2 linked regions of the Mus musculus genome follow. The protein of the gene in region 1 interacts with the protein of each later gene in a pairwise test. Links are inferred from orthologs where the notes say so. Each region holds a gene or a part of one and is shown on either strand. Other genes may lie near its edges.

Evidence for each region. The genes of interacting proteins can lie anywhere in the genome.
Region 2: the proteins of Ms4a12 (region 1) and Mall interact in binary tests that used the Homo sapiens proteins (3 or more experiments, as listed by UniProt). The two-hybrid records come from large-scale screens. The link is inferred for Mus musculus from reciprocal best matches to the Homo sapiens genes MS4A12 and MALL.

Annotation. Positions count from the first base shown.
Region 1 is NC_000085.6:11,229,648-11,233,706, reverse strand, and holds the start of Ms4a12 (membrane-spanning 4-domains subfamily A member 12), read left to right. Parts: upstream 1-1,253; 5' UTR 1,254-1,338; intron 1,339-3,158; 5' UTR 3,159-3,166; coding exon 3,167-3,427; intron 3,428-4,059. UniProt on the Homo sapiens protein: May be involved in signal transduction as a component of a multimeric receptor complex.
Region 2 is NC_000068.7:127,727,056-127,731,151, reverse strand, and holds the start of Mall (MAL-like protein), read left to right. Parts: upstream 1-1,254; 5' UTR 1,255-1,285; coding exon 1,286-1,396; intron 1,397-4,096.

The DNA.
Region 1 (4,059 bases):
AAAAGAGAAAGGAAACCACCATTAATACACAAAGATAATTTAAAAGCAAACTCTTTTAAAAAGTCCTACTCCTAGCCAGGAAGCTAGTCACGATTGATGCTGCTAGGAGAAGGGAAATATGTTTTCCTCAACCGAATGGCCCTTGGTATCTACCATACTCCAGGACAGGCCACATGTTCAGGAGTAGTTGACCTACTTGGACTCCACAGTTGGTTGGTTGGCTATCCATTTTTAGAGAGAGAAAGAACATGAAGTCGGGTGGTTGGGGAGGTGATGGGGACCTGAGAGGATTTGGGAAAGGAAAAAAAGAATAAAATATTCTTTTCCATATATATTATATGAGCATATATTGTATGAAATTCTCAAAGAATAAATAAAAACAATATTTTCAAAAACCATTCTTTCCTAACCATTCATGTGGTGGTGGTGGTGGTGGTGGTGGTGGTGGTAGTGGTGGTGGTGGTGGTAGTGGTGGTGGTAGTGGTGTGTGTGTGTGTGTGTGTGTGTGTGTGTGTGAAAAGAATTGACACTGATCCCACTTGCTCAATGGATCTCACCACATGTGAAACTTGACAGCCATGGGGCTTTTGAAGGCAAGAATATACATTGGATCTCTGTTCTTAGGACACTTGTTTGCACCTCTAAGACACAAATGAACATGAATAGTTAGACTGCCTCCAAAATTATAACATAACAGTATTGAGAATTATAAGGGTTGATTGACCTGTAAAGGTATTAATAAAATGGTAAGTTAAAAGGGTGTAGTATAGAAAACCTACACAATCTACCTTAATTTGGTGAGTCTTTACAACACCATGTACATCTGTATGTAACACGAATCCTGGCACACGAAAGTTTGCGAATCCTGATGAATTATCCTCAGTAGCAGTGTCCAGGTGTCCAGAGTGCAGGCACTTTTACTCCTCCTCTTTCTGTTCTTCATTGTCTGTGTTTTACAGTTGTACTTGTCTGGTTTAAAAGGCACTAGAACGTGGTGTGGCACTGCTTTAGTGAGGGTCAGAAAGCTAAGGGGCTGGAGAAAGGAACAAGAAGTGTCTGGAAGTGTCACTTCCCAGCATAAGTGAGTCAGAACACACTTCCCTGCATAAATACAAACTACAACGCATTCTCAAATTTACAAATGGGGTGAAAGTGCTTAATGAAAGGACTTTGGAACTATATAAAGATAGGATAGGCTCGCTTGAAGCAAGGAAGTAAAGGCACTTATAAATCCCAGATAAATATCCAAGATCAGAGCAGAACATATAGCTGAGAAAGAGAGAGCCCAGAGGTTCTGGGAAGCTGCATAGGTCCACTGAAACCACCCTGCCTTTCTCGGTGGGTATGGAACGGGGCTGATCTGTTTGGGTGGGTTTGCTGCCACATTCTACTCTCTGGGTGGGAGAGGTGAAGCCAATTCTTAAATCTGTATTGAGACAGTTGACGAATGAAAGAGAAACCCGGAGAGAAACAAGACAATTACTACTAAAGGCACTTCAAGCGAATCTATAGACACATACCCATGTGTGTAAATCTAATGCTAAGGATAGTGGATACACATGTATGAAATTCCATGAATAGTAACCGGCAAGCAGGAACCCTTGGTGACAGTGTCGTGATCGAGGGTCCACGCATAACAGAGACACTGAAACACACAGTTTCTGAATATGATTCACTAAAGAGGCTTCTTTATGGAAAATGAAGACTGGGAAATCACCCTTCACTGGGTCAGCATTTTTTAATATTTGCTGAAAGATGATATTTTCAGACATATGTCCTGCATGATTCGGTTGGAAGTGTCTATGAGTCACTGTGATGTTTCATTATATGCTATATAATACATTCTAAACAATAGTATCATTTTCCTTCTTTTCAAACAAAGGTGGAAAGGAGGTGGTAAGAAATTACAGTCATATTTTCCCATCTTTACTTGGATTAGTTCACCAGCTGGTTTTTCTCCTATTGCTATAGTCCTTATGCTTTATAATTCACCAGAACTTTGGTGTTTTTATTTATGTGTTTGTGTGCTTGAAAATGGTTGTTAGTTCTCATTTTTCAGAAAAAAGCTGGTTGTAAATAGCTTATCATTTGCTAAGAGAAAAAAATGTGCTAACTCCTTTAAAAAAAAAAAAGAAGAAGAAAAGAAAAGAAACAAAACTATGACAATAGACTCAGCACTGAGCTGACTGTCTTCCCTTTATGTGGATCCTCATTTTGACTGGAGGATCTGTTTGGGTCCTCATTTTGATTGAAGGATCAGTTTGGATCTTCATTTTGATTGGAGGATCACTTAATCCTGTTTCCCTGGCATCACTTCCACATCTACATACTAGGTCATTTTCATATGAACCAAAAAATGTAGAACTGGGTCATTTTCTAATCATTTTCTAAAACTTCAGCAGTTTGGGCACAAATCCATCCTGAGATGTGTTTTACAGAGTTAGGTATTAATAGTCTGTGTTCCATGTGAAACTTCCATGTTCAAAAACTAGATCACAGATAAGAAGTCTTAAAATTTCCCTAGCAAAGTTATCAGAGACAAAAAATACACACTGTGTGTGTGTGTGTGTGTGTGTGTGTGTGTGTGTGTGTCCCTCCCTCTCCTTCCCCTCTCATAGAACAATCATTTAATTCTATACTTTTTAAAGCCCAGGAAAATTCTTGTTCTGACTTTATACACCCATCTCCTGTCTCCTTGCTCTTGGCATTGACCTTTTGAAGTTCAACCCATTTCACCAAATGGACACGCATCCTCTATTTGAAATAAGATAATAAGAAATAAGATGGGTTCTAATAACACAATAGTCACTGCCATCACCAAGCTCTTGACCTATGCTGGGAACTCTTACAATGGCTTTATGAAAATTGTCATCATTCAACCTTTATTCTGGCCATTTGAATGGCAACATCTATCCTTTTACAGCATAGATACAGGCTAACAGAAATTTAATTGAGAAAGCTACTCAAGTGAAGTATCAAGTTGGAGACTAAAAATAGCTGGAGTAATATTTAGTCTTAGAAACTGCATCTATTTCTTGTCACTAGCCAGTATGTGCTCACTTGCTCTCTCTCCTATTTGCATAAAAATTGATGACAAGATGTCCTTTAATTTCTCTTCCTGGTAAATGTGTTATTTCTGTATGTTTTGTACTGCTTAGGTGACATAATGACATCTTCCCAGACTACCTACCCTGGAACGCGTGGCATTCCAAATCCTTGCCCACCAACAAGATCCATGGCTCCTCATCCTCCACAACCTCTGAATTTTTTAAACGTAAGAAACCAAGTACAGACTGGGCAAGTTTCCTTCATTACATCTCCAGGAATCTTCCCTAACACACAGCTGGGTCGAGAAAATGTGCCAACGGTAAATCCAGCTCTAGGAGCAGCAATAAGCAATGTTAAAGATGCAGCAATAGCACTTGGGGTAAGTGTATTTGCCACTAGGATTTTAATGTTGCATTTGCAAGGCTTTTATGCATCTGCCAGTTATAAATAGCATATCAACCAATGAGCAAACACATGTAAGGACTATTCTGTTAACTGTGTCTCTCTCAGAAAGAAATGGTCAATCTGTGTATGAGTCACCCTAGGTTCATTTATTTTAGATTCAGATACAAGTCTAAGAGTTGACAGAAGGCTCTCCCTAACAGGAAGATCCAGGAATGGTGACATGACTAGAGCCAATTACTTCTTGATTGGTCTCATTGCCTCTGAAAGTCTTTTTAGGAAACCTTACTTTTGTCTTGGATCAGTTATTAATCTACATTTCTATAAAGACAAATTAACTTTAAAACAATCATTGATAACTGTTTTAAAGGGAATGGCACTACTAGCAAACTGTCTGAGGAAAGCAAAGTGTAAAGTGTAAAAACTATCCTTGGAAATGCTATGTCTTTGTTGCTTTGATTTACAAAAGTTGATTTGAGCTGGACACCCATGGTCTTGTTTCTCTGAGCATTGTAAAGCACGAATGATTTGTAGTAAAGACTCAACATGCTTAGACAGAACTGACCATCGTTACTTAAGCTTTCCCCACACCTCTTCACACACTCCCAC
Region 2 (4,096 bases), on another chromosome or scaffold:
TGTGTACCTCTTACCCTGCCCCATCTTCCCTGACGCCCCATGTAGATTATGGTCACATCCAAGGGGGCCACAGCCCCAAAGAGAGACATAGCACTTGTGTGTGACATTCAGAAAAGGTGGGTGGCTTTGGATCCATTCTGTCAGCAGTGTGGGGGCCTGAGCTTGTGAACTATACGCTCTAGGACTTGGAAAAGGTTGAGGACAGGCTGTCTGGAAGCTTGCTGGGAAGATCTTTGCCTTTCCCTGCAATGCCTTGGCTTCAAGCTTCATGTATCCAGACTCTGCTGGCTGCTCCAGACCAGGCAGAGCGAACCAGCTACTCCTCCCACCTTGCCCAGGACAGGCCCTGGAATTCCCTGCTGTTGCTAAGGAACAAGACACAGGGCTCTTGTGCAGGACATCCCCCAGTCCTTGGGACAACTCTTCCATGCCTCCTCTCCTACTCCTGAGGAGGCTTTTCAACTGGCCTGCTGGAGCCGAAGAGGGGAGGAAGAAGGCTCTGGGGCGCCAGGCCTTCCCTCAGGGCGGTGGGAAAACAAACCAAGGTTAGTGGGTTGTTAAAGAAGAAGGTGGCCCAGTCTCCAGCCCTGCCTGGCGTTGTGTGAAAGGAAGAGCTTTGGGTCTGGAAGCACAGCCAAGCAGCCAGCCCCAGGCTCTAAGCAGGAAGGAACTGCCTGGTCCCAACCCTGTGTCCTAGCTGGACTAGAACGACAGTGAGAGGAGGACCCAAGAGGGACTCAGAGTACCTGAGGAGGGAGGTGAAAACCAGGCTGCTCCAATCCTTCATTTAGACTCTGAGGACAAAAGCAGATGCTGCTTTTGTGACCACTCTGTGACCTTAACTGGAAAGGTACAACAAAGCCACGTGGTGGTGGTCTATCTGAACTTCAGAAGTGTCTGAAGGTGGCTAACCACACAGTAGGTCCTCAGTAAACAATCTTTATCTTAGCAAAAGAGCCCTTGCTTACACTCTGAGCATAGAGATCACCAGGAGCATACATACAAAGCTGTTCCTTTCATCTCTTCTGGAGTCCTTTGCTCCAGCATTCAAAGTTCCTTAGCAGGGAAAGTCTAGAAAGACCCTCTGCGAGGCTGGTCCTGTCCCCTCTCCTGGCTAGCACAGTGCACAGAAGGGCCCCCGCTCTACTGGAACCTTTCTTTTCCCCTCCCAGGCGACGTCCCTCCGACCGATGGGTGTGTCTGTCTGTCGGGCGGGAGGTGATTCTTGAACAGCTGCGGGCGCAGGCGAGTGCTACGGAGTAAAGACGCCAGCAGAGGTGACAGCATGGCCTCCCGGGACACACCGCCGGCCACCAGCTACGCCCCGCCTGACGTGCCCTCGGGGGTCGCCGCCTTGTTCCTCACCATCCCCTTTGCCTTCTTCCTACCGGAGCTGGTGAGTTGACTGCCCCCACCTGCGGGGAGGGAGGGGCAGACCCGGCAGGGAACCTCGCTGGCAGTTAACTTCAGGCTCCCTCTTTCCCTGTGGGTTTCCCAGGCTGGGTTCCTCTAGAGCAAGTTTTCCTCTTTCCCAAAGGATGAGGAGCTAATCCCCAGGCCACTTTCTTGCTGGAGGGGTCCAGCCACCTTCTAGACTATCCAGACCTCTAAGAAACTTCTACTGCCTGGTTTCTTTCCCCCTAGCTGTTTGTACTTTACTAAAGTTCAAAGAACTAGGGGTCTCTCTAAAGGGCCTTCTGAAAGAAGGTCTCCCAGTATTTTCTCAAATCACATCAGCTGACTTTGAACTTTGATTTACGTGTGTTCCCTGCCGAAGGGAGCTCATGACAGCATCGTCCATAAAACAATCTGAACCGCCCAGGTGACTCTGGGAAACTTGTTGCTGCCCGACTCTGGGACACGGCAGAGCAGAACTAGGCGCTGAACCCTGCCAGCACTCGGCAATGCATTCAGTATTTCCTCAGCTGGCTCCTGCTACTATCCACCTCCCCTACTCCCTGCCACGCCTCCTGTAATATCTAGTTTGTGGGTGAAATTTTCTTCCTAGCCCTGAATTTGACCATGCTGCCTCTGGGCGGGGAGGAAGACTTGGAGTAGGACAGGTTACATAAAATGGGTGTGGCCAACGCTTTCCCTTCTGGTCTTCATGGAAGGTTAGGTCCCATTGAGTGACCTTTAGGCAAATTGCTTAAACAACAGCCATTCTTGGGAAGCGTCCTTGTGGGTCCCACAGGTGGGTGGCCTTGATAGAGACTCCACCTAAGAGGCAGGTTTCTTCTAGCACCAGTCCCCCACAAACGTGGGCATCCAGCCAAGCTGATCAGATCCTGAGCTGTGTGCCAGGCCCTGGGTGTGGGCCTCACTTTGGAACAGTCGCATGGGTGACAGGATGGCTCTGCCACATTCTATTGAGCTTGCCAGTCACGCAAATCATCATCAGAGGAGTGGCTACCTCCCAGGGGTCTCTGTGGCTGGAGAGAGGTTTGGGGGCATTTTTTAGAATGCAGCACACTGTCCTGGCCAGAGGAGGGAGGGGTCTAGGCCTGTCACTCCCTGGAAGAAGGCTGGATTCCTGAGGCAGGAGAGCAGCCAGGTAGAGAGTTGTCACTAGAGGTGCTGACAGTTGTCCCCTGCAGTTGGATTCCTGGAAAAGTACTTTCATGGTGTCCTGGGACTTTGAGGGGATGAGGTCATTGTCATTGATTTGATTTTCTTGACTTATTTTTAAATAGTTTTAGATTTCTCCTAAAGCCATAGCGGCAGCATAGGAAGTCTGCTCCTCACTCGGAACCCCACAGGGCTCTCCAAACCAGGAAGTTAAAGTTAGCACTCTGCCATTGACCATTGTTGTTCTATTTGCTCATTTCCCCACTAATATCCTTTCCCTAGCCCAGGAGCCAGGTCAAAACTCCTGATTGTGTTGGCTGTCCTTTCCCCTTCAGTCAGGGGCGGTTCCTCTGCCTCCATCTTGGTATTTTGGAGAAAGCACTGGCCGGCCGGCTGTGACAGACCCTTGTTGCAGTTAGCCCTGTCTGTGTTTGCTCGCTGTAACTCTAGTTTTCATTTGGAAGTCATCTTCATTCATTGATGAAAACTTAGAAAATGCAGAATTGTGTTCACAGACGGAGCACATGCATCATCTGTGTGTGTGTGTGTGTGTGTGTGTGTGTGTGTGTGTGTGTGCATATGCAAGTGAGGGGGGGTCTGTGTGCATGGGTGAGTCTGTGTGTGAACATGTGTGTGAGTGTGTGTGTGAGTGTGTGTGTATGTATGAATGTATCTGAGTGTGTGTGTGTGTGTGTAAAATATCTGTATCTGAGTGTGTGTGTTGAGTGCATTATTCTGCACATGCTTCTTGTACCTGCTATGAGCATGCATAGAAGAACTCCAGGATAATGTGTGTGCCTGTATGGAGCATGGGAAAGGAAGGGAAAAGATCAGATTTTGATGTCATGGGCAGAAGAAGCTGGGAAGCTGTTCTGGGTGCTGAATCAGTTTGTCCCAGGCCCTTCTTTGGCTCTGCTGCTCTGATGTCTTCTCCCTCCACTGTCCACTGGGGCAGTGTAAAAGCACCATGCCTCCAGGGACCCCTGACCCTTAGCCCTCTGGTCTGAGACAAAAGTCTGTATAGAAGGCATTAGAAAGCAGGGAGACCAGGACACTTGTGCAGAGCACAGAAAGCAGAGCCCAAGTACTAGGATGCAGTGATTCTTCAGTAGGGTGACATAGACACATGGTGTCTACAGTGACCTCTCCTAACCACCATGTGTATGTGAGTGTGTGTGTGTGTGTGTGTGTGTGTGTGTGTGTGTGTACGCGCGTGTGTATGCATGTGTGGAGCACCACATGGAAACCAAGAGTGAGCAGATCCATTGTCAGATCACATCAGACAAGCTCTCCCTTGCTAGCCATGAGCCACCTTGGAGGTGGCTCTAGCTTTTGGTGGTTCTTGGAGATGACAGCAAAGGTGGTTCAGGCTCCCAGTAGCCTACTCCAGTGACCTTTGTTGCCCACAGTGCTTTCCCTCCCAATCTTCAGCATTAAAATTCACATTTAAAATGTTTTATTTTGTGATAGTGATGGTTCTAACAGGAGCCTGTATTCCCTGCATCTTCCCAGTGGCCATGTCTTTCCT